7 linked regions of the Daphnia pulex genome follow. The protein of the gene in region 1 interacts with the protein of each later gene in a biochemical or structural test. Links are inferred from orthologs where the notes say so. Each region holds a gene or a part of one and is shown in the gene's direction. Other genes may lie near its edges. The genes, in order: polyubiquitin, RING finger and CHY zinc finger domain-containing protein 1-like, cullin-3-A-like, mitogen-activated protein kinase kinase kinase 7-like, DNA repair protein REV1-like, protein DDI1 homolog 2-like and E3 ubiquitin-protein ligase CHIP-like.

What was found.
Region 2: the proteins of polyubiquitin (region 1) and RING finger and CHY zinc finger domain-containing protein 1-like form a complex in vitro, tested with the Homo sapiens proteins (2 studies listed by BioGRID, with this or other methods). The link is inferred for Daphnia pulex from reciprocal best matches to the Homo sapiens genes UBC and RCHY1.
Region 3: the proteins of polyubiquitin (region 1) and cullin-3-A-like form a complex in vitro, tested with the Homo sapiens proteins (2 studies listed by BioGRID, with this or other methods). The link is inferred for Daphnia pulex from reciprocal best matches to the Homo sapiens genes UBC and CUL3.
Region 4: the proteins of polyubiquitin (region 1) and mitogen-activated protein kinase kinase kinase 7-like form a complex in vitro, tested with the Homo sapiens proteins (3 studies listed by BioGRID). The link is inferred for Daphnia pulex from reciprocal best matches to the Homo sapiens genes UBC and MAP3K7.
Region 5: the proteins of polyubiquitin (region 1) and DNA repair protein REV1-like form a complex in vitro, tested with the Homo sapiens proteins (2 studies listed by BioGRID). The link is inferred for Daphnia pulex from reciprocal best matches to the Homo sapiens genes UBC and REV1.
Region 6: the proteins of polyubiquitin (region 1) and protein DDI1 homolog 2-like form a complex in vitro, tested with the Homo sapiens proteins (3 studies listed by BioGRID). The link is inferred for Daphnia pulex from reciprocal best matches to the Homo sapiens genes UBC and DDI2.
Region 7: of the proteins of polyubiquitin (region 1) and E3 ubiquitin-protein ligase CHIP-like, one has a biochemical effect on the other in vitro, tested with the Homo sapiens proteins (2 studies listed by BioGRID). The link is inferred for Daphnia pulex from reciprocal best matches to the Homo sapiens genes UBC and STUB1.

The regions. Positions count from the first base shown.
Region 1 is NC_060024.1:13,920,027-13,924,170, forward strand, and holds the start of polyubiquitin, read left to right. Parts: upstream 1-1,344; 5' UTR 1,345-1,652; intron 1,653-2,076; 5' UTR 2,077-2,082; coding exon 2,083-2,413; intron 2,414-2,594; coding exon 2,595-2,822; intron 2,823-2,985; coding exon 2,986-3,213; intron 3,214-3,367; coding exon 3,368-3,595; intron 3,596-3,763; coding exon 3,764-3,991; intron 3,992-4,144.
Region 2 is NC_060018.1:4,447,262-4,451,294, forward strand, and holds RING finger and CHY zinc finger domain-containing protein 1-like, read left to right. Parts: upstream 1-1,427; 5' UTR 1,428-1,529; coding exon 1,530-1,589; intron 1,590-1,796; coding exon 1,797-1,958; intron 1,959-2,026; coding exon 2,027-2,093; intron 2,094-2,165; coding exon 2,166-2,254; intron 2,255-2,339; coding exon 2,340-2,522; intron 2,523-2,582; coding exon 2,583-2,678; intron 2,679-2,742; coding exon 2,743-2,842; intron 2,843-2,910; coding exon 2,911-2,942; 3' UTR 2,943-3,533; downstream 3,534-4,033. Other genes in the region: protein KRI1 homolog, read left to right, coding at 1-160; transcription factor TFIIIB component B'' homolog, read right to left, coding at 3,654-4,033. UniProt on the Homo sapiens protein: E3 ubiquitin-protein ligase that mediates ubiquitination of target proteins, including p53/TP53, TP73, HDAC1 and CDKN1B. Mediates ubiquitination and degradation of p53/TP53; preferentially acts on tetrameric p53/TP53.
Region 3 is NC_060026.1:11,981,844-11,986,057, reverse strand, and holds the start of cullin-3-A-like, read left to right. Parts: upstream 1-1,414; 5' UTR 1,415-1,592; coding exon 1,593-1,658; intron 1,659-1,732; coding exon 1,733-1,930; intron 1,931-1,997; coding exon 1,998-2,183; intron 2,184-2,242; coding exon 2,243-2,446; intron 2,447-2,512; coding exon 2,513-2,692; intron 2,693-2,762; coding exon 2,763-2,957; intron 2,958-3,034; coding exon 3,035-3,382; intron 3,383-3,440; coding exon 3,441-3,548; intron 3,549-3,613; coding exon 3,614-3,855; intron 3,856-3,926; coding exon 3,927-4,053; intron 4,054-4,110; coding exon 4,111-4,214. UniProt on the Homo sapiens protein: Core component of multiple cullin-RING-based BCR (BTB-CUL3-RBX1) E3 ubiquitin-protein ligase complexes which mediate the ubiquitination and subsequent proteasomal degradation of target proteins.
Region 4 is NC_060025.1:3,027,594-3,031,536, forward strand, and holds the start of mitogen-activated protein kinase kinase kinase 7-like, read left to right. Parts: upstream 1-1,143; 5' UTR 1,144-1,198; coding exon 1,199-1,285; intron 1,286-1,350; coding exon 1,351-1,573; intron 1,574-1,627; coding exon 1,628-1,745; intron 1,746-1,813; coding exon 1,814-1,956; intron 1,957-2,016; coding exon 2,017-2,203; intron 2,204-2,264; coding exon 2,265-2,401; intron 2,402-2,432; exon of another isoform or gene 2,433-2,463; coding exon 2,464-3,210; intron 3,211-3,943. Other genes in the region: guanine nucleotide exchange protein smcr8a-like, read right to left, coding at 13-306, 367-634, 696-874. UniProt on the Homo sapiens protein: Serine/threonine kinase which acts as an essential component of the MAP kinase signal transduction pathway. Plays an important role in the cascades of cellular responses evoked by changes in the environment.
Region 5 is NC_060017.1:8,178,987-8,182,938, forward strand, and holds the start of DNA repair protein REV1-like, read left to right. Parts: upstream 1-1,152; 5' UTR 1,153-1,620; coding exon 1,621-1,674; intron 1,675-1,742; coding exon 1,743-2,385; intron 2,386-2,444; coding exon 2,445-2,923; intron 2,924-2,989; coding exon 2,990-3,364; intron 3,365-3,424; coding exon 3,425-3,517; intron 3,518-3,581; coding exon 3,582-3,710; intron 3,711-3,774; coding exon 3,775-3,952. Other genes in the region: alpha-(1,3)-fucosyltransferase C-like, read right to left, coding at 1-1,094. UniProt on the Homo sapiens protein: Deoxycytidyl transferase involved in DNA repair. Transfers a dCMP residue from dCTP to the 3'-end of a DNA primer in a template-dependent reaction.
Region 6 is NC_060018.1:3,461,810-3,465,814, reverse strand, and holds the start of protein DDI1 homolog 2-like, read left to right. Parts: upstream 1-1,205; 5' UTR 1,206-1,402; coding exon 1,403-1,646; intron 1,647-1,734; coding exon 1,735-1,926; intron 1,927-1,992; coding exon 1,993-2,247; intron 2,248-2,323; coding exon 2,324-2,457; intron 2,458-2,523; coding exon 2,524-2,622; intron 2,623-2,694; coding exon 2,695-2,859; intron 2,860-2,924; coding exon 2,925-3,032; intron 3,033-3,105; coding exon 3,106-3,186; 3' UTR 3,187-3,326; coding exon of another isoform or gene 3,327-3,706; 3' UTR 3,707-3,765; coding exon of another isoform or gene 3,766-3,915; 3' UTR 3,916-3,970; coding exon of another isoform or gene 3,971-4,005. Other genes in the region: ATP-dependent RNA helicase abstrakt-like, read right to left, coding at 3,327-3,706, 3,766-3,915, 3,971-4,005. UniProt on the Homo sapiens protein: Aspartic protease that mediates the cleavage of NFE2L1/NRF1 at 'Leu-104', thereby promoting release of NFE2L1/NRF1 from the endoplasmic reticulum membrane.
Region 7 is NC_060019.1:9,014,910-9,018,348, reverse strand, and holds E3 ubiquitin-protein ligase CHIP-like, read left to right. Parts: upstream 1-1,192; 5' UTR 1,193-1,388; coding exon 1,389-1,478; intron 1,479-1,560; coding exon 1,561-1,687; intron 1,688-1,747; coding exon 1,748-1,819; intron 1,820-1,891; coding exon 1,892-2,019; intron 2,020-2,103; coding exon 2,104-2,217; intron 2,218-2,284; coding exon 2,285-2,341; intron 2,342-2,419; coding exon 2,420-2,536; intron 2,537-2,593; coding exon 2,594-2,719; 3' UTR 2,720-2,939; downstream 2,940-3,439. Other genes in the region: CD82 antigen-like, read right to left, coding at 1-23, 147-362, 556-630. UniProt on the Homo sapiens protein: E3 ubiquitin-protein ligase which targets misfolded chaperone substrates towards proteasomal degradation.

The DNA.
Region 1 (4,144 bases):
GCGTGCCAGTTGCGTTACCGCTGGAACGACCTCCTTATGCTGCGACTGGATCCTAATCGTCCACTAAAGGAGAAAGACGTCCAGAAACTGGAACAGAAAATGAAACGAATGCAGAGAGATTTGCACTACGACCTGATTGCCTTCACGCAAACTCAAATTTTGTACACCATTAAACGACTTTTAGCAGCTGATTTGAAGGTTATTTACCGGGGCCATGCTCTAGAATCTGAAACTCCAAATGAAGAAATGCCAAATGAGATTAACCCGTTCTGGCCAGAATTCCAAGCAGTCGCCCATCCAAGGAAAGGTGGGCTGCAAATGGCCGACTTTCTTGTTTACGGATGGTATGAAATTTTATCATTGTAAATAACAACTCAAAAATTATTATAAGAAAATTTCCGATTTTCTAGTTTGGAAGAACCCGATTTCACCCAAGATTATCTCAGCACACCATGGGCTTGTCCTATATGCGAACTCAATTTCTACCTGACGGGTCTAGGGCGATTGAGGCACCAGGTCCAGTGCCAGAAGACAAAAGAGTTGATGGAAGGAGGTATGAAATGTTTTTTAACAATCTGTTTGCTGCCCTCTATCCAGTTTACAATTTTCCGTTTTGTTGGGTTATTATTTAGGTCAGGGTGAACCAGCAGAAGCTTCCGAGTCGAAAACGGGTTATTTCTGTCCTGATTGTCGCACCACTGTGGAGCTGACCGGCATTGATTTACTGCGTCATCAAAGGAAGCACCAACAGGAAAAGTCCAACAAACCTGAGGCAGATTAGTCCTATACACGCAGAAAGAAGCCTTGCCCAAAGTCCTTCAAATTAAACACGTGGGACACGTCGACACCAGCACTCATTTCCGCTGCGCATTTTTGCGAACATCATCACATTATAATCCCCTTAAACTCAAGGTTGAATAAAGACCTATGTAAAACGACGCTGAATTGGAATTTATTTGCAATGAATTATAGTTTTATTCAGAGTCATGGAAGCGTAAATACATAACGGTTTTTATCTTGTTCGGTCTAATTAAGAAATTTCTCCTTATTAGTTGTTTTTTTCTTCGTCACTTTCTATTTGTATACAAGTTTTGCCAGCAACCTCATACGTGTTTCTACTTTCAAAATTCTGCCACGTGTAAATATTATCTCGTAAAGGTTCGCAACCTACTTGAAATGAAAATATTGGACCCAAAAAGTTTGGTGGAAAAGAAATAGAAAGTATGAGAAATAAAGGAATAAAGGATATCCGCGATTATTTCAAGGCTGAGGCAAATCCGTACAAAATTAACGTCACTTAGATAAAAATGTGGAAACTTCCAGAATTAGCTCAAATTTCATAATCACGGAATATTCTACGTCACATATTGTTTCTCTGTCGTTGTAGTCACGTTTGAGAAGGTGACGTTTCATCGTTACGTTATCTAACGACAAACGAAAATACGAAATAATCCTTCTAGAAAAAGCTAGGGAAAGCCGCAGGGGACTTGGTACGAACCTCCCCAGGCGCTTCTGTCGCGTCTATATAAGTCGACGTCAGCCATTTTAAAAATCAATTCGCGTCCAGCACCCAACTCGAGCAGAACGTCTTAGCAGTTGCTTCGTCGAACACATATTTTAATTCAACTTTATCATCTGATTGATCAAATTTAGTAAGTTAAACCTTTGATTTCTTTGTCCTGAATAGATATCCATTGTTCTTGTGTGTAACTAGTTAAATTAACTAAGATTTTTTGGGGGAAACGAAAAATTTACGCCGTGGCAAGTTGTCCCTTTGTTCGATTGTGTCCGCCATTTTCTTTCCTCGTTTCATCTCTTTTCTCTTAGTAACAACTGGTTGGAAAATATTTCATGGTGTAAGATGAGACAGTTATTGAAATTTACTAGAAACATTTTGTATTACATTAGTTTTGATTGCAACTTCTTTAAAAATAATTGGCTAGTAATAAAATTTATGCATGGGCGTAACTTTCCTTTGTTCGACGTGACGTAATGATGACGATTGGTTATGATGAAACTTCTGATAAACTGGTTTTGTATATGATACTAAAGTAAGTTTAATTTTCGTTTCTTCAGAAAAAGATGCAGATCTTTGTCAAGACATTGACTGGCAAGACCATCACCCTTGAGGTTGAGCCTTCTGATACTATCGAGAATGTTAAGGCCAAGATTCAAGATAAGGAGGGCATTCCACCAGATCAGCAGCGTTTGATCTTTGCTGGCAAGCAGCTGGAAGATGGTCGTACCCTGTCTGATTATAACATCCAGAAGGAATCTACCCTGCACTTGGTCCTCCGTCTGAGAGGAGGAATGCAAATCTTTGTCAAAACACTAACTGGAAAGACCATTACTCTGGAAGTTGAACCTTCTGATACCATCGAGAATGTCAAAGCAAAGATCCAGGATAAAGAAGGTAACTATCAAACCTTTGCCTACTGTTACTAAATTAACCTGATGAGTATTAGGATTACAATGACATTTAGAGTGTCTAAATTTCTTCATGATTACAATTATATCGCAATAACCTGAAGTATTCAATACATTTTAATTTCCATAGTTGTCTGATTGAAATTACAAAATGTTTCTTTGTTCAGGCATCCCACCCGATCAGCAACGTCTCATCTTCGCCGGCAAACAATTGGAGGATGGTCGTACTCTGTCCGACTACAACATTCAGAAGGAGTCAACATTACATTTGGTGTTACGTTTACGCGGAGGCATGCAGATTTTCGTTAAAACTCTTACTGGAAAGACCATCACTCTCGAAGTTGAACCTTCTGACACTATCGAGAACGTTAAAGCCAAGATTCAAGACAAAGAAGGTAATGGAAAAAAATAAGAAGAGAAATTTATTGTAGTTGCTGATGACACTCTTAGGACACCTAAATATGGACCCTGATTACTAAATAATCTGAAATTTAAATGTTAAATGATTTTGGTAGCATTAATCTACTAGATAATATTAACGATTTGAATTGTCTACAGGTATTCCCCCCGATCAGCAACGTCTAATTTTCGCTGGAAAGCAGCTCGAAGATGGCCGTACTTTGTCTGATTACAACATCCAAAAGGAGTCGACTCTTCACTTGGTTCTTCGTCTCCGTGGTGGTATGCAGATTTTCGTCAAGACTTTGACTGGCAAGACCATCACTCTTGAAGTTGAGCCTTCTGACACAATTGAAAATGTCAAGGCTAAAATTCAAGACAAAGAAGGTACGTTAGTTTTTGAAAGTTCGGTTGTTCTGCAATGATGATAATTTTATATACGCTAATATCAACAACATGATTACAATTAAATCTGATGTGGTATCGTGGTAAATGGCAGAATGTTTAGGTAGAAATTTCAATGTTATTGCTTTTTCTGTAGGTATTCCCCCAGACCAGCAACGTCTGATCTTCGCTGGTAAGCAGTTGGAAGATGGACGTACCTTGTCAGATTACAACATCCAGAAGGAGTCTACCCTTCACTTGGTCTTGCGTTTGAGAGGAGGTATGCAGATTTTCGTGAAGACTCTTACAGGAAAGACCATCACCCTTGAAGTGGAGCCATCGGATACAATTGAGAACGTTAAGGCCAAAATTCAAGACAAAGAAGGTAATAATTTGGGGCAGTCTTTATTTTTTATTCCATCGATTATGATGACACTTTATTAGCTCTTTAATATGTACCCTGATTACCTATTTTCCAACGTGTACTGATATAAATTCTAGAACTTAAACAACTTTCTATGGCGTAAAAAATCTAATCCATTCTTCTACTCAGGTATCCCACCCGATCAGCAGCGTCTCATCTTTGCCGGTAAACAGCTGGAAGATGGTCGTACCTTGTCAGATTACAACATCCAGAAGGAGTCTACCCTTCACTTGGTCTTGCGTTTGAGAGGAGGTATGCAGATCTTCGTCAAGACTCTCACTGGAAAGACCATCACCCTTGAAGTTGAACCTTCCGACACGATTGAGAACGTCAAGGCTAAAATCCAAGACAAAGAAGGTAACATTATTGGAGGGATTTTCCTTGTTTGCTTACTATAATGATGACAATTTATTAGCTCTACAATATGTACCCTGATTACATTTTTTCCAACGTGTACTGATGCACATCATGGAGTATTCGGCAAAAACTCGGCAACGCAAATATATAATC
Region 2 (4,033 bases), on another chromosome or scaffold:
GAAAAACAAAAACGCAACTGAAACAACAGCTAATAAGAAATCGGCCACCATTCGTGGTTTTGACATAACTGACGATCGCCTCAAAGCGTACGGCATCCGAAACCCCAAGAAATTCAAGAATGCCATTATATTCGGAAATTTGAAAAAATCAAAAGACTAACGGGGTTGGGACTTGGGAGTCAGATTTTGTCAGTAATTGTATTTGGTTTGATTGAGTGGATATTTCGAACGTTCTATCAATAAAAAGACTCGTGTTCCAATTCTTTGAAAGTTGCGGGTTCAAATAAAAATGTCTTCCAAAGAAAGAAAATGAGAGTATAAATTGATCGATAATGACGCTGCGCTCCTCATCTGATAACCTACAGCCAACGGTCTGTAACACGTGGGTCACTTATCTTTCTCGTCGAATAAAAAAACGCACATGAATTGAAATTGAAGGCCTTCTAAACAAATTTACCCAACAAAATCTTAAAAATTTGCAATGCTACTATAATCTCCATGCGAGAGAAGGAAAAGGGGATGACAAGGTCGACATTAAAAAAAGTTTTCGTGAATAAGTAAAAAATCTTCAATTGTCGCAGCTATTTATGTGCAACAGGTCACATTGGCTTACAATCTTTCGTACATTTCATAGAAAATTAAATTACCAGAGTATGCACAACCTCGCAAAAAAAGTCGTTTAAGTGTTTTTTCCTACCTTCGTAATGGTCACACGTGGGATTTGATGTTATCATGTTGAGGGTCGGCGGTTTGGTCGATTATGGTGTTTTGTCCCCAATTGTTCGGCAATGTTCTTTTCAACTGCTTACGAGATCGATGATTCACAATTCACAATCACAGGAAATGATTATGGCAATAATTATTCAGTCAGAGTTCACAGTCGCGCTATACACACTTTCAAATTCTACTGCCAAATTGTTGAGCATCCGACCTCGTGGGCCGCACGAGAACAACTAAGTTTTTCAAGGACCTTGCTGCCCTTTCAATAGGTAGGGTCATTTGCATATTTTTCTCAATTTGAACGTAAAAAAAAATTTCTTCGATTTTCTCCTTTCCTCCTTTTCTCCTACCTTACCCCGGTCCCCGGCCTTAAGTCCATTAATATTTCAAAACATGCACTCCGATAGACTGTATAAAACAGTATGGCAACATTCGAGTGTTTTGATTTTGAAGAACCGCTTTTAGAAAGGACAAGGAAGGGAGCTAGCGACATCTCGTCACAACAAATTTAAGTTCGTGATTAACCAATTAAAGATTAGAGATGAGAAAATTGGATGAAAATTAACTTGCTGGTTACTCTGGATTCCATTGGGAAATTAGTTTTTAAATAAATTGCTGCACAAACAAGACAAACGTGGGAAGTTAGGAATTTTCGGAAAGAAGTCGACCCAACATAGTTCATGTTCATGCCGCTAGGCTAAGCCCAAACCTACACGCTGTACACTAACTGGCCGAAACTCGTGTTTTCTTTTACACTGTGTACACACACTGCCAGATACTGACTCGTTGGAATAGGTGGAGGAGATAAAATGGCTGAGGAGAATGTCGAATACGGTTGCGAACATTATAAACGAAAATGCAAATTAGTGGTAAGTAGTTCGACACTTTGTTCTTAACCAAGTAATGTTGTAACTCAAGTTGGTCGGGAAATAACTGTGGGCACAATGTCTGAAAAATGACCATGATATCTCCTCGTGAAGATAATGCGGTTTTATAGTAATCCTGTTTAAAGTTGTATTGAGAAGTTAAATACTTAATTATTTATTATTTTACTAAACAATAATTTTGTTTTGTAGACACCATGCTGTGACAAAGTTTATACTTGCCGTTTTTGTCATGATGAGAAGGAGGAACACACCCTTAACCGAAAAAATGTGGATGAAATTATGTGTTCATTGTGTGAAACAAAACAACCAGTTCAACAAAACTGTTCCAATTGTGGTATCCTCTTTGGACAGGTAAAGTATCAGACTTTTTTCTTTTCTTTTTTTTTTCAAAATAAAGAAACCTTGATTTTGTTTTGCAGTATTTTTGTGGAAAGTGCAAGTTGATTGATGATGAAGATAAAAAGCAGTATCACTGTGAAGGATGTGGTAATTATTATTACATTTTAAAACCAATTATATTTAATCTTTGGTGACAACTCCTATATCTTACTTTTTCAGGAATATGTAGAGTCGGAGGAAGGGACAAGTTTTTCCACTGCCAAACATGTGATATGTGCTTACCAAAAAAACTTGAAAATCAGCATAGAGTAAGCATTTTTGTGGGATTCTAATTTATACATAAATTATTTTGGTTTTTAGTTCATTCAATTAGTTATTTTTGCTCTGTTACAGTGCGTTGAAAAGATGAGCCGAACAAATTGCCCAATTTGTTTGGAGGATATTCATACATCAAGAATTCCTTCACACATCCCATCATGTGGTCATCTGATTCACCGAACATGTTTCAATTCATTTATTCATCGTGGTCACTATGCCTGCCCAGTTTGTCAACGTTCAATGATGCCGATGGAATCGGTACTAAAATTTAAATTTATAAAACGAATTATAACGTTACCAATTGTGTTTCCATTCTAGTACTGGCGCATTTTAGACGATGAAATTGCCTCAACCCCAATGCCAGTGGAATATCAAAATTTTTTTGTCACGATTTTATGTAACGACTGCCATCAGGTTAGTCATTTCTCGGCACTAAAGAGTTTTTAAAATGTTATTATAATTAACAATTTTTTTGCAGTTTTCTGAAGTTCCAATGCATCCCCTTGGAGCGAAGTGCCAAAATGCACCATGTGGATCGTACAATACGTGCAGAAGCGGTGGTCCTGTTAATAGACCTGGTAATTATAATTTTATTAATCTAGAGGAACTGCGTACCACAAATCAACTTTTTCTCTTTTTTTTTAAGCAGTCAGAGAACAATCTCCTAACTCGGAATAAATGGCCATGATTATCAAGGGAATAGGATGTTGTTTGTCATTTACTTGGACGGCGGTTTTATTCTGTTGACATGCAATAATTTTATTGGCCATCTACTAAATGGTCGAGTTTGTATTTTAAAGGCTTTTAAATTTTCATCCGTGAATCTTCCACCTTATTCGGCGGTAGGCATCTGGAGCCTGTTCGTGAAATTGGATCGAAAGGTTTTGTGAATTTTTTTCTTATCGTTCAAGTTACTCGTACCCCGTCAGCCATCCTGCTGATGTTTGATACCTGTTTTGTTGCCCTTACCTCGTTGCAGTGGCTAAATTGCCGTCATATTGTAATGCACCGTAGTGAGTAAAAAAAAACATCAGACAAAAACAATGGGTAACATTTAGAAATGACTCCTCGAGTAGTTTGAAAATGGACACTGCCAGAAAAGTTCATATCCGAAATTATGAAGATTCTTCTGTGCAGCTTGTGAGTTTCTTGTAATTTTACATGTCATATTATTACAATTGATTAAGCACTTCTCTTCAATTCTATGTGGAATGTACCTTCTGAACATTTTCAAATAACAATTCTGTATAAATATACGTTGTTACCTTATTCACTGGCCTTAAGCAGTAATTAGATCGTTATTTAATTCTGGATGGCAACAACATACACACGCACACACAAAAAAAAAATTAACAGTGAAGGATTGGGCAAAATGCGTAGGGGATCTTATTAGGAGACCGGTTCAAACGGTTCGGCTATACGGTATACATGTACCAATTGATTATTAGGATCTCCGGGATTGGGTTCTGCCACCAACACTAAACTACCGGGTTCAGCTTGAGCAAACGCGGGATTGGCTTCTGCAAGAGCTGGAGGGACTAGAAAAGATGGAGCCTGGTTAGGAGTTCCAGGAACTTCAACGACGGTTAACCCACCTTGTTCTAAACCAATTTGTCCAAGGGGAGAATTCAGCAAACTGTCGAGTGGAATATTTGAATTTGGAGCAGTAGGGTTAGCATCCTTCGAACAATTTGCTGGTTCCAAAGCATCATTCTCAGTTGGGTTTGCTGGTTGTTCGTCGTCATAATCAAGAGGCTTTACATTCTTTC
Region 3 (4,214 bases), on another chromosome or scaffold:
TACCCATCTTTGGCAATCGAAGGAGAGAACCATCCTCCACCCTATTTAAACCAAAAGATTGCATCTATTTTGGTATGTCTGTTTTAAACATACAGTTAACAAACTCCCTTCTTTATCATGATATAATTGCTTGTTTCAGGGAATTTTGAAAATACTGCTCATCCTTGTAGTGGTGTCGGGAACCAATATTTTTGAGCATTTAGGTGTGCAAACTCCCTCAGTTTGGGAGTGGACTCAGCAGAACAAATTTTATGCGTGCTTGATGACTTTCTTTCTATGCAATGCTGTTGAGGGCCAATTAATTTCAACTGGAGCATTTGAAATCACATTAAATGGTGAGATTTCATTGAATTCATTACTTCCCTATTAACTTACCTACTTATCATTATTTTTGTTACAGATGTTCCACTTTGGTCTAAAATGGAAACTGGTAGAGTTCCTCAACCCCCTGAACTTTTTCAGATGATTGATAACCATCTGAATATGGCTAGCCCCCAACTAAGCTTGGATTCATAATGTGTGCTGTGTGGTGTGGTGTTAATTGTTACATCTTGTTTGAGTCTTTAGCCTTTGTAGATATGATGATTCCTTTAAAAAGTAGTGGAAACTACTGGAAGCGATCGGATGTTTACCTACACAAGTGCTTTGTATAAGAACATGAATGACAATCTAACACTTTTTCCCCCATCCTCCATTCTTCATTCCATTTTAGTAAATAAAAACCTCTAGTCTATGGATATTCTTGGTTTTAAAACAACAGTAAACTGGCTAAAGTTAAACAAAGCTCCTGATTATAGCTTTCCTTATATAATAGTTTATTCAGAATATAAATAAGTCTTTGGACGTTGTCGTGGTGGCTAAGCATAAATCCTTCTTAATTTATTTGCGATATTGGGTTTCAATGAAACGAAGCTGAGAGAATTTGAATCCGAGATTACAACGAATTATGTAAGTCCTTCCTAAGTCCTTTCTTTTTTAATAAGAGATAAGAGCTAAGATTTCCCTAAGAATACGACAATGCGCACGGCGCTGTGGCAGGCACAGATATGCATAAATACATTTATATTAGTAAAATTAGCAAGGAGCATGCTACTGTCTGACTCAAAGCGCATAATTCATTACGAGTTCTCCAGTGAATGTGACTTTTTACTTTTAGTGCCTTTTTTTTAAATATTCAACACAATTTTCTGCCAACCCTTAACCCTAGCTATTATTATGAGCATTTTTTGAACGGAAATGAAACAAACGAATAATTTTTTTATCAATGATATTTAATAAAGTCTTTTTCTTGCGAGTGGCCAATGTCGATGCGTATTTTAAAAAGAATAAAAAATGCGTGGAGGTGATTTCCATTTTTCATTGTCCTTCAGATGGATGTGTTTCAATTTAGCCGCTAGATGGCAAAATACAACGTTGAGTTTTCTGAGGAAGAGAAGGAAAGAGAGGTTAGCCTTTAGGTTGCCCTGTTTTTTTTGCTTACAAGGGGGGCCAACTAGTTTGATGGAAACGTTTTAAAGGTTTCGGAACTATCAATATTTGGCCGATACTTGTATTTTTTTCGTTTCGTTATTTAAATTTGAGTGAGTTTCACGATGATGAAAGGTGGTCTCGGCGGCGGTTCAAAGAAAGAAGGAAAAATGCGAATTCGTGCATTCCCTGTAAAGTTTATTATAACACTTCATTCTGGCATTAGAATATCTTTGTTATTGTTTTCTTGTTTTTCTCAATAAAGATGACGATGGACGAGAGGTATGTGGAAAATATTTGGAGTTTACTGAAGAATGCCATTCAAGAAATTCAGAAGAAGAATAACTCTGGTCTTAGTTTTGAAGAACTTTACCGAAATGCATACACAATGGTTCTACACAAACATGGAGAGAGATTGTACAATGGCCTTAGAGAAGTTGTTACTCATCATTTAGAATCTAAAGTAATATCTTTCTTGCTCAAAAAATTTTCAATTTTACTAAAGATTTTGCCTGATCACTTTCACATAGGTTCGTCAAGATGTGCTTTCTTCCTTGAACAACAATTTCCTTCACATTCTAAATCAAGCATGGAGTGATCATCAAACATCTATGGTTATGATTCGTGACATCCTCATGTACATGGACAGAGTTTATGTTCAACAAAATAATGTTGATAATGTTTACAATCTTGGATTGATTATTTTTCGTGATCAAGTAAGTGCCTAATTCAATAGTTTATTGTTGGATTTGATTTTAATTGAACTTTCTATAAGGTTGTTCGTTATGGAGGCATTCGTGACCACCTAAGGCATATTCTTTTGGAAATGGTTGTCAGAGAGCGTAAAGGAGAAGTTGCAGATAAGCTTTCTGTTAGAGCAGCTTGTCAAATGCTCATGGTGCTGGGTATAGACAGTCGAGCTGTCTATGAAGAGGATTTTGAAAGACCTTTTCTTTCTCAATCTGCAGAATTCTACAGGGTACAAAAACTTGGTTGTTAATTTTTCTACAATTTATTTAATTATTTTTTTACTTTGCTTTCACAGTCTGAGAGTCAGCGGTTTTTAGGGGAGAATTCAGCTTCAGTTTACATAAAGAAAGTCGAGGCGCGCATTAATGAAGAATCGGAAAGAGCCAAACATTATTTGGATGAGTCGACCGAGCAGCGTATTGTTGCAGTAGTTGAAGAGGAACTTATACAGAAACACATGAAAACGATTGTTGAGGTGTGTAAAACTTAGATTAGTGTGTTTTAAAAAATGCTATACAGAAAAATAATTCTTGTTTTCACACTAGATGGAAAATTCTGGTGTAGTACACATGTTAAAATGCCAGAAAACTGACGACTTACACTGTATGTACAAGTTGTTGGGTCGTGTAGCGGATGGTTTGCGAACCATGGCTAGTTGTGTCAGCGCGCATTTACGAGAAGAAGGCAAAGCACTGGTTAATGTCGACGAATCCGGTGCCAATGCATTGAATTTTGTCCAGGTATTTTTATTAAAATTTACCTTTTTTTCTCTCTGTAATAATGATTTCTTTCATTTTGATTTCTAATGACACTATAGAGTCTATTAGATCTTAAGGATCGCTATGATACATTTCTGGGAAAATCCTTCGTAAACGATCCAATCTTTAAGAAAATGATCTCTTCAGATTTTGAATATTTTCTTAATTTGAATTTGAAATCTCCCGAATATCTATCACTCTTTATCGATGACAAGCTCAAGAAGGGCGTTAAAGGAATGACAGAGCAGGACATAGAACTGGTGCTCGACAAAACCATGGTTTTGTTCCGTTTTCTCCAGGAAAAGGATATTTTCGAGCGTTATTATAAACAACATTTGGCCAAGCGCCTGCTGCTGAACAAATCTGTTAGCGATGATAGCGAGAAGAACATGATTTCTAAGCTGAAGGTAATTTATTCATTTCCAATTTATTGAGCTCGTACTAACATTTTAATTACTTTGTTAGACTGAATGTGGGTGTCAATTTACCTCGAAATTAGAGGGCATGTTCAAGGATATGTCTATCTCCAACATGCTCATGGAAGACTTCAAAAATCACATTCAAACTTCTGGGGTAAGAAATATCCAGTAAAAAAATGCAATTATAAAACGGCCTTCCAACCATCGATTATTGATTAGACCTCCCTTTACGGAGTGGACTTGAGTGTTCGCGTACTAACAACTGGATTCTGGCCAACACAATCGTCAGCTACTTGTACACTACCATTGGCACCACGCAACGCTTTTGAGGTCTTTCGCCGATTTTATTTAGCAAAGCACAGTGGGCGACAGTTGACGCTACAACCCGCTCTAGGGTCGGCTGATCTGAGCGCAATCTTTTATGGACCTAGACGAGAGGAGTCTGAGACAAAAGAAAAAACGTAAGAACATTTATATGTTGTCTCTATATACTGAGCATATCTTATCGAATGTTTCGATTGATTCCATGAAGTGATGGCCCCAGCTCGTCAACACCCTCGTCATCAGCTAATGGACCGCGAAAACACATAATCTCCGTTTCAACCTATCAGATGTGTATTCTTATGCTGTTTAACACCCGAGATAGGCTAACTTACGAAGTAAGAGCACGTAGAACTTAATGATTTCTTATTCATCATATTTGATGCTGTTTATAGGATATCATGAATGAAACTGACGTTCCGAAAAAAGATCTGGATCGTGCATTGCAATCGCTTGCGATGGGCAAACCGACTCAACGCGTTCTTGTCAAAAGTCCCAA
Region 4 (3,943 bases), on another chromosome or scaffold:
GATACAAACTGATCATAATATAAAACTGTTTAATTGAGACATTACAGCTTTAAAATCAACATTATCGGGGTTTACGTTGGTAAACAAATCATAAGTTGAACAAATCACCTTTGGGTCCAAGATCTGATCTTCCAGAGGTCTACAGGTTATTTTATACACAAATATTAGACCTGATATCACAATTGAGATTCCTATGGGACAGAGCAAATGCCATGGCTTAAGCTTCTTTTCTTGATCCCCTAATTCAGGTTCTGGCTGAGTTAGATGATTCCATTTGTCAAGCAGACTAGTGATAGTGTTGTTCTCCTGTCAAGGATCAAAGAAATAATACTTGTAGGAGGTCAAAGTACAGTAACTGTTGTCTACCTGTACTCCAACATCCTGTCCTAAGCTCCCCATCCACCTCATGTTTGCATTTTTCAATATTTGGGCAGACATGTTGAGAACATTGAGGATTTCATTTTTCAGACGATAGAGCTTGGTCTGATTTTGAGTGATGTAAGCTATGCAAGAAGGACGCACACCTCCTCTTGCCTGAGAATCCTTCAAAGTAAAGTAATGAAGGATGGCATGGAAATTCTGAATGATGTTGGTCCGAATGCAAGGCACATCAGATATTTCATCCAACTTTTCCCTGTGGGATTAAAATAGTATGAAATAACCCAAAGAATTTTTGAATAATTTAAAATAAATACCCTGGAAAATTCTGATAATCTGTTGTCATTATGTAAAGAAGAAATTCATCCAGATTGAAATTCTCATTGTTATTCAGATGAGGTAGAACAGCTGGGATAGTCAAAACACAACGAGGCCCTTCGACTTCACAGAATTCGCTTATTAGAATAAAGTCTCTAATCGTTTGGCTACTAGCCATGTTATTATTGATTATTACAAAGACTTTTCATTAGGCTGTACAAGCAATTTAACGTGCAAATATTTATTTAAGTTACCCATACGAAGTAAGTACAATGACAATCACATTAAACCAACATTGTGTTGATTTTGAAAGACGAGTGAACTTTTGTCTTGGTGACAGTCCAGCAGGGACGTCTGCTAGGTGGTTCGTGGTGGTGACAAAATTTGTTGCTAGATGGCAGTAAAGAAGGAAGATCGGACCAGACGAAAAGTTTGATACGAAAAATTTTGTTTAACAAAACTTGTTTTTGGATTTGTAGTTGTGTAAATATAATTTGTAATCATGGATTCGTCAGAAACATTTTCTGGCGACTTAAAAACAATACCAGAAGACTTGGAAATAGATATAAGTGAAGTCGAAGAATTGCGGGTTTGTAACATTCCATTATTAAGTACTGATTTTATTTACACTAAGATTGGCTGCGTATCGTGCAGGAAATCGGACGAGGAACTTTTGGGGTGGTATACAGAGGTGTTTGGCGATCCAAAGTTGTGGCAGTTAAAAAAATTAACACATCAGCTGAACAAAAAACCTTCATGATTGAGATAAGGCAACTGTCAAGAGTATCACATCCTAATATAGTAAAGCTGTATGGAGCTTCCACAAAGAGAACAGTTTGTCTTCTCATGGAATTGGCTGAAGCTTCATTATATGATGGTAAATTCCTACAGTTTTTTACACTAGAACTTTAACTACATTACTTGAGTCTAGTTCTACATTGCCGCTCCAAGATATCTTATACCTTCCATCACGCTATGAACTGGGCTCTGCAGTGTGCAAGAGGAGTAGCTTACCTACATGGTATGAAGCCTTGTGCCATCATTCACAGGTGTTTTTTCTTACATTTAACTTCATTGGTGTGTAACTAAATTAATTTCATTGTGGGGGTGCTTACAGAGATCTTAAGCCACCAAACCTCCTATTAATGATGGAGGGTAGAGTTTTGAAAATTTGTGATTTTGGCACTGCATGTGACATGAGAACTCAAATGACTAATGGGCAAGGTAGTGCTGCATGGATGGCACCTGAAGTTTTTGAAGGTAACACTTAAGAAGATTTGCAAATTTCAAAATTATTGGCTCAATTTTCTTCTTTTCTAGGCAACCACTACACTGAAAAATGTGATGTGTTTAGTTGGAGTATCATTTTATGGGAGTTACTAGCCCGTCAAAAACCGTTTAGTCACATATTAGACTCGGCGTTTACCATAATGTGGGCCATTCACACAGGCAAGCGTCCCCCTCTTATAAAAGGCTGCCCCGTTCCGTTAGAGAACATAATGACCAGGTAATGATCAACCACTTTGGTGGAATGCTAATTTTTCAATCCATTTCTTTCTTTTTTTAAGTTGTTGGAATAAAGATCCAAACAACAGACCATCAATGGAGCAAGTCGTCAAAGAAATATCGCATTTGTTTCAATTCTTCCCTGACGAAATTCCACCCCTCGAATACCCTAACCAATCGGATTTGATCGAAGCTGGTGGTAAAATATTTTGCGAATTAATTGTTATTACCTTTTATATACATTCGGGACATGTTGAACAGGAGCCAGCTTGGAAAGTTGTGGCAGTGACCCCAGTTTGAGCAACTCTTCTTGTTCCAGTGCAGTTTTGACATCACTGCCTGTTCCTAGAACAAAGTACCACCATTCACCCGCTCGTCCTGTCACTCCCGCCCATCGAGAAGAAACAGACAGCTTACTGCCAGCTTTTAACCAACTGCTCAGCGAAAAGGAAAACATGCTGCAGCCAGGTCGTTCGCTTGTCACGCCCAGTAGCCTCAAGCTGCTTTCACCTAGAATAATAGGAGGCACTAGCACTGTTAGCGAGCCACTGCACCTAATCATTGGCGGAGAAAGCGACGAGTCAGCCGAAGGCTATGCCATACCGCCATTGGGCGAGGATTTCTTACAGGGTGGTCTAGGAAGAATGCAGTCACCTTATCAGCCACAGATGACTAATACGGCCAACGAAAGTATAGGGCAACTAGGGCCGTTGGAAACTCCCCGTCGACCTCAGCAATTCGATCATCCGTTCAAGAGAAGATCAGCGGAATTTCCTCACGTTGACATATGCGTCCCTACGTCTCCAGTACCGTCGTTTCCAGTTCTTCAACCCTATTCTTCCGGATGGAGCGGAGCAGAAGCTAGAAGAGTAGAAGAATCCGCAAATGTGAGCGTCATGGGCCACCGCAGATCCTCTTCACACGGGAATCCTTCCCAATTATGGACTGGTGTCACTCCACAGCAATCGATGCCTTGCATTTCAAATCTGCCTGGTCAACGTCATATTGGTGAGTAAATGTTTGAATCTATCCTGGTCAAAAATTACATGTCATGCAATCGTGACAGGTACAGTGGTACTTGTTGGGTCAATGTGCCGTGTAAAAATGTGACTCAGTTCCTAGTACGCAGTCGTTTGCATACTTAATGCGTGCGTCAGCACTGTGTGCATCACCCGACCAGTAGTTGGAACAGGCCGGAGCGTTGACACATTAACCCAGGAACGAAGAAAAAGAAAAGAAACAAATAGGAAAAGAAATGGAACGAACTAAATAGAGAGAGAGAGAGAGGAAATAGATAAGAGTTGGTATAGAGGCGGAATGCGATGCGCGGGTAACTTGGTCATGTTGCGCAACTATCGAAAAAATTCTTCCCGTGCAGAAACCGTAGTCGGTTGTTGTTCCAATGCGGATTTCGGCCGCAGACTTTTGTTTATGTGTTAAAATGTTGGTCAATCAGCATTCGATTTATTTTCCCGAGAAAATTCGATCACGCTTGCCCGATCAAAGTATTTGTTTAGAACGCTGGTGAAGGCTCGCGGTGATGATTCACACGAACACGGACAGGATGCGCACGCGGGATATTTTTAACGCACACATTTGCTATTAGCTATCGGACCCCCTCCGTCCTGGCCTTTTTTTTCTACAGTCGCTGCGCTCTTCTCCTTCTCTCTCGTCGTGTGCGGGAGAAAGAGAGAGGGAACCCAAGGTCTCGTTGGAAAGGGTCCTTCAGTCAACACGCTGG
Region 5 (3,952 bases), on another chromosome or scaffold:
GGCATTATTTCCTTCCGGTCATCCGACAGATTGAGTTGTGCACAAAGAGAACACAAGGCCTGGCCGCCCATCTCTTCATATCCACTGCGGATAATGTAACTGGTTTTCCATTTCAAGTACCTCTCGTAAAGTGTTTGGTTGCCATCGAGCAACAGCAAGTAATCGGCCAGTTGTTTGGGTGAATAACTCAGGGCGTCGATAAATGAATACGGCGGAGCAATGTCGCTGTAATTGGCCCTACCCATGACAACTGGCACCACGTCAAGCTTCAATATCGAATAGAATTTCTCCGTGACGTAATGGCTGCACAGTGAATTCTCAAACGACAGATAAAACTTGTATTCCTTTTCCAGCATGTCGTAACATTCCGGATGTGAAATCCCCGTATCAGAGTTCCATTTGCATTTCAACGGACCGCAAAGACCAAAGATGTCGATAGGGATGTGCTTCTGCAATTCTCTGACGTAATTTTCTCGCCGACTTTGAGTTGTGTTGCAATGCGAAACAAACCAGGCGACCAGTTTTGTCTTTTTCCTTATTAGATAAGACTTGGATTTTAAATCAACCGCTGCCCGTTCTATCCGGCCATACGGATAAGGAATGTTTGATTCGGGCAGATAACTCATGGTCCAGTTGAAATATCCGATGTAATCCTTTTGGACGTTTTCCTTGTGATAGAAAGGTGATTCTTGGCTGAAAAAGATGTAATATTGATGACTCTCCCGTGTGTCGGCTGGTGGCAGCTTGTCAGACTTTTCCAGTTGATGAAGCACAGCCATATTGAAAATAATGGCATCAAATTTGCCCAGTAAGTTTGATCGACGATCAGTTGTGACTCGACAATTCCTGTACGGACACGAGTTATTGTTGGGCAAACTTCTAAGAAAGACTTTCATTTCGATTCGATCGTAACCGTTCCACAATAGAATGTTCTTCGTCTGATGGGACTCGGATAACACATCATTAGGGTGGATGCGCACTATTACTCTTTCCCGAGTGATCGATGTCTGATGATAACAAATTATAGTGATCACAAACATTATTATAATTCCAGCCAAGGATAAGTACCTAGAGACACAATAACGTTGTTCCATTTCTGGGAAACAAAACTGGCAGTTTATCGTCTTCTTCTGATTAACACACAAATACGAATGAAGATAATACCCCTGGCAAACCATCAAATGAAAAAGAGGATACATGTAATTATCTCCGGCCATCATCATCTGCTATACATTTGGGAAGTTTTATAATTGTTCAAACAGGAAATACTTTGGGCGTTCCTCTTCCCATGCTCTTCCTTTGTTTCCTACATTTTGAGATTTGTTTTCCTGATAACATTCAAATCTTCTTTAGTAATTGGCATATCTTTTTTTGTGTCTTTCCACACTTTCAAAAAGAATAACAACAGTCCTGATCCAGTAGTTTTATTTAATTTTTTAAAAACTAAAATTTCAAAATATCTTTTCCGAACACGCGATTTACAATATCTGGCAATGCGCAATTTCTTCTGCCATCTAGTGATATTTTTTGAAACAATTTATGTAAACAAACGTGCACAGCAAACTCAAATGTAGTGGAAAATTTTCTTGCAAGTGTTGAGATTTTCTTTTTTATTAAACGATGGCTGGAAGGGGTAAAAGGAAAAATAGGGACGATAATGGATTTGCAGAGTGGGTGAGACGACTTATTCGACTTCTGACACTACTAATTATGTTATTCATATTTGGAATCATTATTTACAGGGGGGTTATATGGCAGCAAAAATTTCTAAACTAGAAAATCAGTATTTGAATGAACAATTCAATGAAGTACAAGAAGATGATAAACTAAGCAATGTATTTTCAAATGTTGCAATTTTTGTCAATGGATATACCAGTCCAACTGCAGAAGAACTGAAGCGCATCATGCTGGCCAATGGAGGAGTTTACCACCATTACTATAATTCAAAAACGACTACTCATATAATTGCGTCCAACTTGTGTGGTGCTAAAATCAAGAAACTCAAGGGCGACGAAAAATTTGTTAAGCCAGAATGGATTGTTGAAAGTCTGAAAGCCAATATGTTATTGGATGTGAAGCCCTATTTGCTTTACACTGGGCTAACTTTAGACAAAGGGCAACAAAAGTTGGACATTGCTTCAATACAGAAGAAAAATGATGACAATCAAACAGCAATAGAAAGAAAAATTGATGAAGCACATTCCTCTGAACCTGTTCCACCTGGTGATATTACTAGACATTCAAGAGAAATGAAACGCGCAGGAGAAGACGATTTTTTATCTGAATTTTACAAACGCTCAAGGCTTCACCACATTTCCACAATGGGAGCGTTATTCAAAAGACATGTGACTGAGCTTCGAGAGAAAAATGATGGTGTTTTTCCAGGTACAATTTTGATAGCAGCATTTTATTAATGCAATTACATGTAATATTTAAAAATTTAGGTATGGAAAGTATTGAAAACTGGAAGAACTTGACTGGTTGCCTAGGAAACTACAAGTGTGAAGAAACTGTTTTCATGCACATTGACATGGATTGCTTCTTTGTCTCGGTTGGACTGCGCAACTATCCATCGTTGGTGGGTAAACCGGTTGTTGTGACCCATGCAAGAGCTGACGCTAAACCGCTTCCAAGACGCGAAGGCAGCAATCGAGAATATGAATTCGACTGCTATAAAGAACATTGGATCAAAAAATCGAAATTTTCAGAAAATAACAGCAATGCTGTTGATACGGTGGCTACGCTTTCAGATGTTTTTCCACGACTTCAGGATTTGGATGAAACTTGTTCCATGTCCGAAATCGCTTCGTGTAGCTACGAAGCTCGCGCAGCTGGAATTTATAACGGAATGTTCATGGGAGGTGCCTTGAAATTATGTCCTAATCTGGTTGCCATTCCGTACGATTTTGAAGGATACAAGGAGGTAATACATTTACAATCAATTATTTAAAATCTTTAATTCATTTTTCCGTTTGTGGGCGTGTTTAAGGTGTCCACCTCGCTGTACAATACTGTTGCCGCGTACACTTTGGACTTGGAAGCCGTCAGCTGTGATGAGTTGTACGCAGACATTACCTCCGTTTTGCGCCAAAGTGGACTCACGCCAGCCGAGTTTGCTACTCATTTGAAAGAAGTCATCTTTAATAAGACACAATGTAACGCCTCTGTCGGAATGGGCCCGAATATGCTGATGGCTAGGCTTGCAACCAAAAAAGCCAAACCGAACGGACTGTTTTATATCAACAAGAAAGACATGAATGAATTTATGAAGGACCACAAAATTGAAGATCTGCCGGGTGTCGGAAGGTCCATGGCTCATCGACTTCATGGCATGGGCGTTCGCACTTGTGTTGAAATGCAGCAAGTATGTGTACATAGCTTCTATTTCATTAAACAAATATGTAATTGTGTTTCTGAAAATCAGGTAAGCTTGGGAAAGCTCCAACAAGAGTTTGGTCAAAAGCAAGGACAAACATTATATCATATGTGCCGGGGAGAAGATAAACGCGCTCTAAAGGTATTATCTCAGTCTCAGGTTAACTTTCCATTTCAAAATTGTTAATATTGCGTGGTCCACATAGACGGACCACGTTCGAAAATCTGTTTCGGCAGATATAAATTATGGAATTCGTTTCGCAAATGATCAGGAAATGCACAAATTCGTTCAAGAACTGTCCATTGAAGTGTCCAAACGAATGGAAGAAATTCACGTAATTAATTTAAACATTTTTTTAACAGCGAAAGCAATTTTAACTTTGTTAAATGTCTCTTTAGGTGAGAGGAAAACTGTTGACTTTGAAGCTCAAAATCCGCGCCAAAGATGCCCCTGTAGAAACAGCGAAATTTATGGGTCACGGAGTATGTGATAGCATTTCTCGATCCACAACATTGTGTTCTGCCACTCGCGACACCAAAATCGTCGAAAAAGAAGTTCAAATCCTTTTGAAACAAC
Region 6 (4,005 bases), on another chromosome or scaffold:
GCAACAAAATTTTTATTTTTTTTCCTATTATTTTTTTCCTTCAAAGTAAATTTACCTGTTATTTTTTAATTTTTAACAAGTAAAAATTCACGAGTTAAGAAAAGAGAAAATTTTAAAAAAAGAAAGGAATTTGAGTTGCGGAATACGGATCCCTTGCAGAAGACTGCTAAATCAGCAAGTTTTCGCTAATTAAATCTTTCAATATGAATCTACATAAGGTAGACAGTATTTTCTCACTTTATTTATCGTGCAGTATTGACCTCATTAACTATTTTCAAGATCTGGCGCAAACGACGGTCACCTTTGAACTTAAAATCTAAGTGATGAAAGAAATCCGTAACAGTTGCATTTTAAGTTTCCCTAGAATCTATTTTCGTTGCTATTGAGTTTATTTATTTTATAATTATAAAAAAGAAATTTCAACCAGTTTTCTCTATCTTTTATATAATGAAAAAAAAAATCCCTTCAAAGCGATTGACTGAAAAAAACAAGTTGTATTTGTATAAGCAATGCAATAGTTAGTCGCGGTGGCAATCTAAAGATCTGAACGGCAAAGATAAAACGAACTAGTTATTCAATAACTCGGCATTTTTTATTATGACAACATGGAGGAGAAGATAAATTAAAAGCGGCAAAACTACACATATAGATTCCAATCGAATTGTTATGTGGTTTATGATTTGAGTGGAGATTGACATTATCGTATCGGAATGTTTAAACGTTATACTGGAATGACGTGATCGCCTGTTTCAAAGGTGAAACATTGTCTACATGTAAATAACTTGTTTTTCATCGCTTTGAGATGATTTCCTGGTCTAAAAAATTTCATGGATACATTTTTGATCTGTTAATCTTATTAAGATTAATTGGAATTGAAATCATTTTTAGATACTTCATAAATATTACACACTTAACAATATTTGTGGCTAACTAAATTTAACATTCATTCATACGGTAGAGTAAATTCCGGCAATAGGTTTAACTAAAAATACCTTACATTTCAAATTTCGATCTAAGGATTTTACTCTACCCTAGCAATTAAAACAATTAAGGAAGAATGACATGAGATCTCAAATTCTCAAACTCTCAAGCACAGATAAAGACCACTGTCTTCTTTATCTATGTCTCAAGTAAAAACTGCATCGAACTGCATCGCAATTCGCAATTGCCGCCGATTTTTTAATTGAGCCGAAATATGTGGCAGCGGTGCATTTCCCCCATTATACATATTACATTGTTGTGTAGTCACAGCTTTTGATTAAATCGTATTTTTCTACTCTACGTGATTGAACTAAGTTGCATTCTGTTTGTTTGCGTTATTAATTACAGGATTTCCTTTTTGTTGCAAACTTTTGTTGTTTAATTCAAACTGGTGATTTCTTAAGTTGATTAGAATTACAATATGCGTATTACAGTTACCACACTGTCTGATGACATATTCAACTTGGATGTGTCTGAGGACTTGGAATTGGAAAATTTTAAAGCATTTTGTGAAGTTGAGTCTGGTATTCCAGCAGCAGAAATAAGTTTAGTTTATAATGGACAAGTTATGAGTGATGGATCAAAGAGTTTGAAGAATCACGGTTTAAAAGAAGGGGATGTTGTTGTCATACAGAGGCAAAGAATTACCACCAATCAGCCCCAAGGTCTACACTCACTTTAAGAATATTGTTGCAACTTTGATTAATAAAAGATTAAAAAATCAGGACTTATGTGTTGTATTGATGCTTGCAGATCCTTCTCTGAACTTGGACTTCAGTGCTATTCAGGTGCCGTCATCTTCCAGGGGAAATAGAAACACTAATCGGGGCAATGAAAACGACCCAGTTTTCATAAGAGACATGTTTCTAGCTAATCCTGACCAACTTGCCCAGCTCAAGCAGAATAACCCTCGTCTTGCTGATGCACTGCTATCAGGAGATTTAGGTCTCATCATTATATAAATTTCTTTCCTATTTTCACACTTCAACTAGTTATTTGTCATCCATATAGCTCGTTTTACTGCGGTCTTACGTGAACAAGAAGCTGCCAGAGCAGAACGAGAGAGACTTCGAAGCCTAATGTCTCGTGCTGATCCTTTTGACGCCGAAGCTCAACGACTAATTGCCGATGAAATTCGTCAGAAAAATATTGAAGCAAATATGGAAGCAGCTATCGAATACCACCCAGAATCATTTGGCACCGTTGTTATGCTCTATATAAATTGCATAGTAAATGGACATCCCGTCAAGGCTTTCATAGACTCTGGTACCATTTTTGTTTGTTTTGTTTTAATCGATTTGTGACTAACTTTTGCGGGATTTCCCCGTTTTATACTTTTTAGGAGCTCAAACTACAATTATGTCTTCAGCTTGCGCATTAAAATGCGATATCCATCGCTTAGTTGACAGTCGTTGGGCTGGTATTGCTAAAGGTGTCGGAATTCAGCGTATTGTTGGACGCATTCATATGGTCCAGGTATAAATTTTGGCTATTTGCCTTTGAGTTTTACTAGACTCTAATTAATTTTTTTTATTTTGAAAGATCCAAATAGGAGATGACTTTTTACCCACTTCGTTTTCAATTTTGGAAGAACAACCGATGGACATGCTGCTGGGATTAGACATGCTTAAACGCCATCAAGTAAATTTTAGCTTTTTAAAGTTGTTGAAAAATCTACGCTGTAGCTTTAACGTAAAATCTTTCAAACTTTAGTGCTTGATTGATTTGAAACGCAACCTCTTGGTCATCGGAACTACCGGAACCGAAACACCGTTTTTATGCGAAAATGAGCTTCCTGACTGTGCCCGATTATCTGGCCCACGTTCTGAAACCGAATCTTCTTCTGCGGTTGAAATGGAAGATCATGAACTCGCCAAGGTTATTTTAGATTAGATAATTCTTCAAACATGTTTTTATCATCGTATAACTAATTTATTTTACAGGCCCTTCAAGAGTCGGCATTACCTGATCCCAGCACTCAACCTCAGGCCGACAAATTCACTGAAAAACAAATTCAAGATTTGGTATCTATGGGATTTGTCCGTGAACAGGTAGGCCTACTGTTCTGTAATTTTGAGTTTAGTATTTTTTAGTATGTTGAATCTACATTGCTATGATCTACAGGTGATTGAAGAGTTGAGACGATTTAACGGCGACGTTACTCAAGCTACTGCTGCACTTTTTGCTAAGTCTTTAAAATTTTAATTTATTGGTCGTCATGTATTTCCAAATTTTTTCTTTCGATAAGATACAACATATCGGGATTTTCACAATAATTTTAAAATTGTTCTTTTGCAATTCACGTGTACAAAAAAATTATAAATTGTGGTATTATTGAGAAACATTTAGTAGTCTGCCGCAGAGTAAGACAAGTAATCTTTACGGCCAACGGCAGAAACTTGTTTGTTGCTTTCCGCTTCTAACTTTGGACACTGCGTAATACGATGACCAAGACCGCCACAGTAACTGCAACCTTTGTCCCCTGTAAATTTTGAAATCAACGTTGTAAATTTTTCATTTAAAGAAAACATTATTAAATTACCTCCGAGATCTTGGAAAACTTCCGTCTCTGATTGCAGTGTGGCCAAAAAGGGAGGGACATCTTGCTTTGCTTCGATAAGCAAATGTTTGAGGTCAAGTAAGACGGACTCTTCGTTCGATTTGTTAATAAACGTTGTTGCTTGCCCCTTATTTCCTGATCGGCCAGTACGTCCGATTCGATGCACTGAAAGTAAGCCAGATTTTAAAGTGTGGATTTTTTTATGATCATTATTTCTTTAGTACCGTAATTTTCGATGTCATCCGGCATGTCATAATTTATGACATGTTGAATGTTGACAAAATCCAGTCCTTTTGAGGCTACATCGGTGGCCACTAACACATCCTTAATTCCTTGTCTGAAGGCATCAACAGCACGAGAACGCTCCTCCTGGTCTAAAAATGTTAATAAGTTAAATCATGAACTAAAAATTGTGATAGTTTGCAGTACCTTTGCTTCCGTGAATGGCTACAGCCTCAATACCC
Region 7 (3,439 bases), on another chromosome or scaffold:
TTTAGTAATACGAAAACCAGGTACTGAAGGCGAGCAGTGCGATGCAATCATTCATCGTAGCGAAATATTCCATTTAGTCAAAGGAGAAAGAAAATTACTCTAAAATCTTTTTTTGTTTTTTTTTTTTTATACAAACACGAGCTTACGCAAGATATCAGGCATTTTTTCTCGCCAAAGGCACCACACATCCCGAATAGGCTAAGAAATATGAGTAGACCGCTGACGGCAATTGCAACCACGATGTTCATAACCATATATTTGTCGTTTACCACCAAAAATTTCTGTTTGTCTGATCCTTTTGCAAATTCTTGACGTTGTACAAGTGACGACGCCGACAAGGAGATTAATACAATGCCGCTCAACTGCATTTCAAAGAATATGTCAGTATCATATTTTATGAAAAGCAATAACAAACCCAGTCTTCCAAACGCAACATTTAATTCGATAATTTCAACCATCTTCAGTTAAATTCTTTAGTAAACTCACGTTGGAATAATATAACTGTTAATATTTTAACAAATCTACAATTACATTGTAATAGAATAATATGTTTACCAGGATTAACAAGTTGAGGCACAAAAAACTCCATCGTAAAATCTTGTGGGAACGGAACGTAACCTCGTCCGTCATTTCCCTTTGACTGTTTTTCCAGTTACTATTTCAAATCGGAATGAAAGCCCGTGTGATAAGGAAACTTACTGTACCACTAACAGGAAACCCAAAATCCGAGTAAAAGAAAATACATTTGCAAACAAGCAATACAGCCGGAACCCAAACGGTATAAAAAAGTGACGTCTATCATTAATATCGTAATCCATAAAACCACGTTGACTCCACCAGTTGGTCTCACGCTTCGAAGTTTTAACTCCTGAGATGGTCACACGATTAAATAAGTAAATAACCAGAATAACCACTGCGGATCGCCTACTGTTCTCTAGGTTAAAGCCCAGCAGTGCGCAGTCAAAATTGTACGCGCGTGTATCCAGGTCGGATGTATATCACTCCAAATAACCTTTTCTTTTGCTTATTTCAATAAATTCTCTGCTTTAACAGCTCTAATTAATTTTCTTATCCTAATTTTCAAATTAGATAGGAATCGTTATGGCGTCTACTGCGCGTATTCATCATAGATTAAAATCTATTTTTATTGGATGGTAGATGGCGGTGAAAAGGTCTTTCCACAATCCGCACTTTACTTTACTTTCATCCGCATTTTATAGTTTATTTATTAAAAGCGTTTTTGTTGTTTTCCGCTTTAGTGTCAGAATATCTGACGTTAATTGGAATTGTGCAATTACGTTTTCGTATCTATTTTATGTGATAGTGTTGCTTTTTTAAATTCTTTCTCGATCCTACAGCACCCAATAGTTTCTTTTTTAGAGAAGAAAATGAGTGACAGAGAACACAAAGATCAGGGGAATAAGTTGTTTTTAGCTCGACGTTTCGATGAAGCAATTTCATGCTATTCCAAAGCCATTGTAAATTTCTTTAATTAAATTAAGCATAAATTATTTTGTTTTGCAACGCGTAAATCAAAGTAATTGTAATTGTTTTCTTTAGCTTAAAAATGGTTCTGTTCCACAATACTACACAAATAGAGCTCTCTGCTCTCTCAAGCTTGGCCGTTGGGATGCAGTAGTGCAAGATTGCAAAAGTGCTTTAGAGTTAGACAACACTTGGGTGAAAGGTTTTTAGTATAAATTCTTCAAAATACTCTGAAAATGCTATATATTGCTATTATGTTTAGGGCATTTCTTTCTGGGCCAAGCTTTAATGGAAAAAGAATGCTATGAGGAAGCAATAAAACATCTTCAAAGGGGTACTCATTTCCCCAACTTAACATAAATTTTGAACACATAAAATCTGATTATTGAAATTTGCTTGTTATTAGCCCGTGATCTTTCGATGGATCAGAAACTTAATTTTGGGGATGATATTACCAGTCAGTTAAGACTGGCAAAGAAGCATCATTTTACAAAGCAGGAGGAGAAAAGAATTTCACAAGAAATCGAACTACAGGTAGTCTGTTAATAACATTCTCTTTGTCCACTCCACTTTGCAAAAAATTATGATTCATTTGAAACTTGGATTTTATTTTGATAGATGTATATAAATAGGCTCATTCGAGAGGATCGAGATCGACAAATCGATTTGGTTAGTCAAGACAAAGAATACAGTTCAGTGGAAAACGAAATTTCGAACATAGAGAACGTCACCGTGAGCATATCTAGAGTATTTTTCTTGTTTCGTTAGTAGACTAATAATACTTGATTAAAATCGGTAGGATCGCTACCTGGCTGAATTGAATGACCTTTTCGCAACCGTCGATGACCGAAGAATGGTACTATAAATTATTCAACTGTGTGTTTCAGTACGTCTTATACCATTAAGAAATTGTCTTTGTAATTGTGTCGGTTAGAAACGTGAAGTTCCAGACTATTTATGTGGCAAAATCTCTTTCGAGATCATGAGAGATCCAGTCATCACTCCTTCAGGAATAACCTACGATAGGAAAGACATCGAAGAACATTTGCAGGTAAGTGAATTCAAAATTGCCTAGTAGATATTAGCCAAAAGATTTGTTTTTACGCAGCGAGTTGGACATTTTGACCCTGTGACGCGAGTTAAATTGACCAAAGACCAATTGATTCCAAATTTCTCCATGAAAGAAGTTGTCGACTCGTACCTGACCGAAAACGAATGGGCTCAGCACTACTAACCACTTTTTTAAGGATCATTCATTGATTTTGATTCTCTTAAAAACTCCGCCGCATTGTATTAAATGAAATCGATATATATTATGATTTGAATCGCCGAGCCCCAGTTGTGATGTTTCCTATCGGGTTGGATGATAATCAGGAAGTAAATGTTGCTATACAGTCTTTCGCTATTGATTGCACATTGCTGTTGTACTTCAATAGACGATGCTGGAAATTTTATATATACCTGATTATGAACCTCCTATTAAATTTGATTTTATTGGGATCAGAGTTCGCCTTGAGCAGATTCTACACCTGTAGGATTGCTCCAATCTTTCAATAGGTTATATTCTTTAGACTAAATTATCGTCTCCTCTGACAATTGTTTGTGGGTGATTGATTTTATTACTTTAGCCAAAGGCAATTGATGATTTGCAGCCGAACTCTATTGGTACGTTTCCTTTCATTAAGCACTTAATTGAGCTTGGCGTGGTTCGTTGTGGATGTGGCCAAGGACAATTGTATCAGAGTTGGTTAAGTTGGTCATTAATCAGGGGGGTCGACTTGAACGGACGGTACTATCGATCCTGGTACAGCACGGGACTGGACCGATATTCACTTAAATTATAATAAACGTCCCATGGGTAAATTGTGTTTGCCACGTCGTCAACTACAGTTATTATCTTATCAGCACTCTAGAGAGAAGTCTGTTGTGTATCTTGCAGTGTGCATACAAGGGC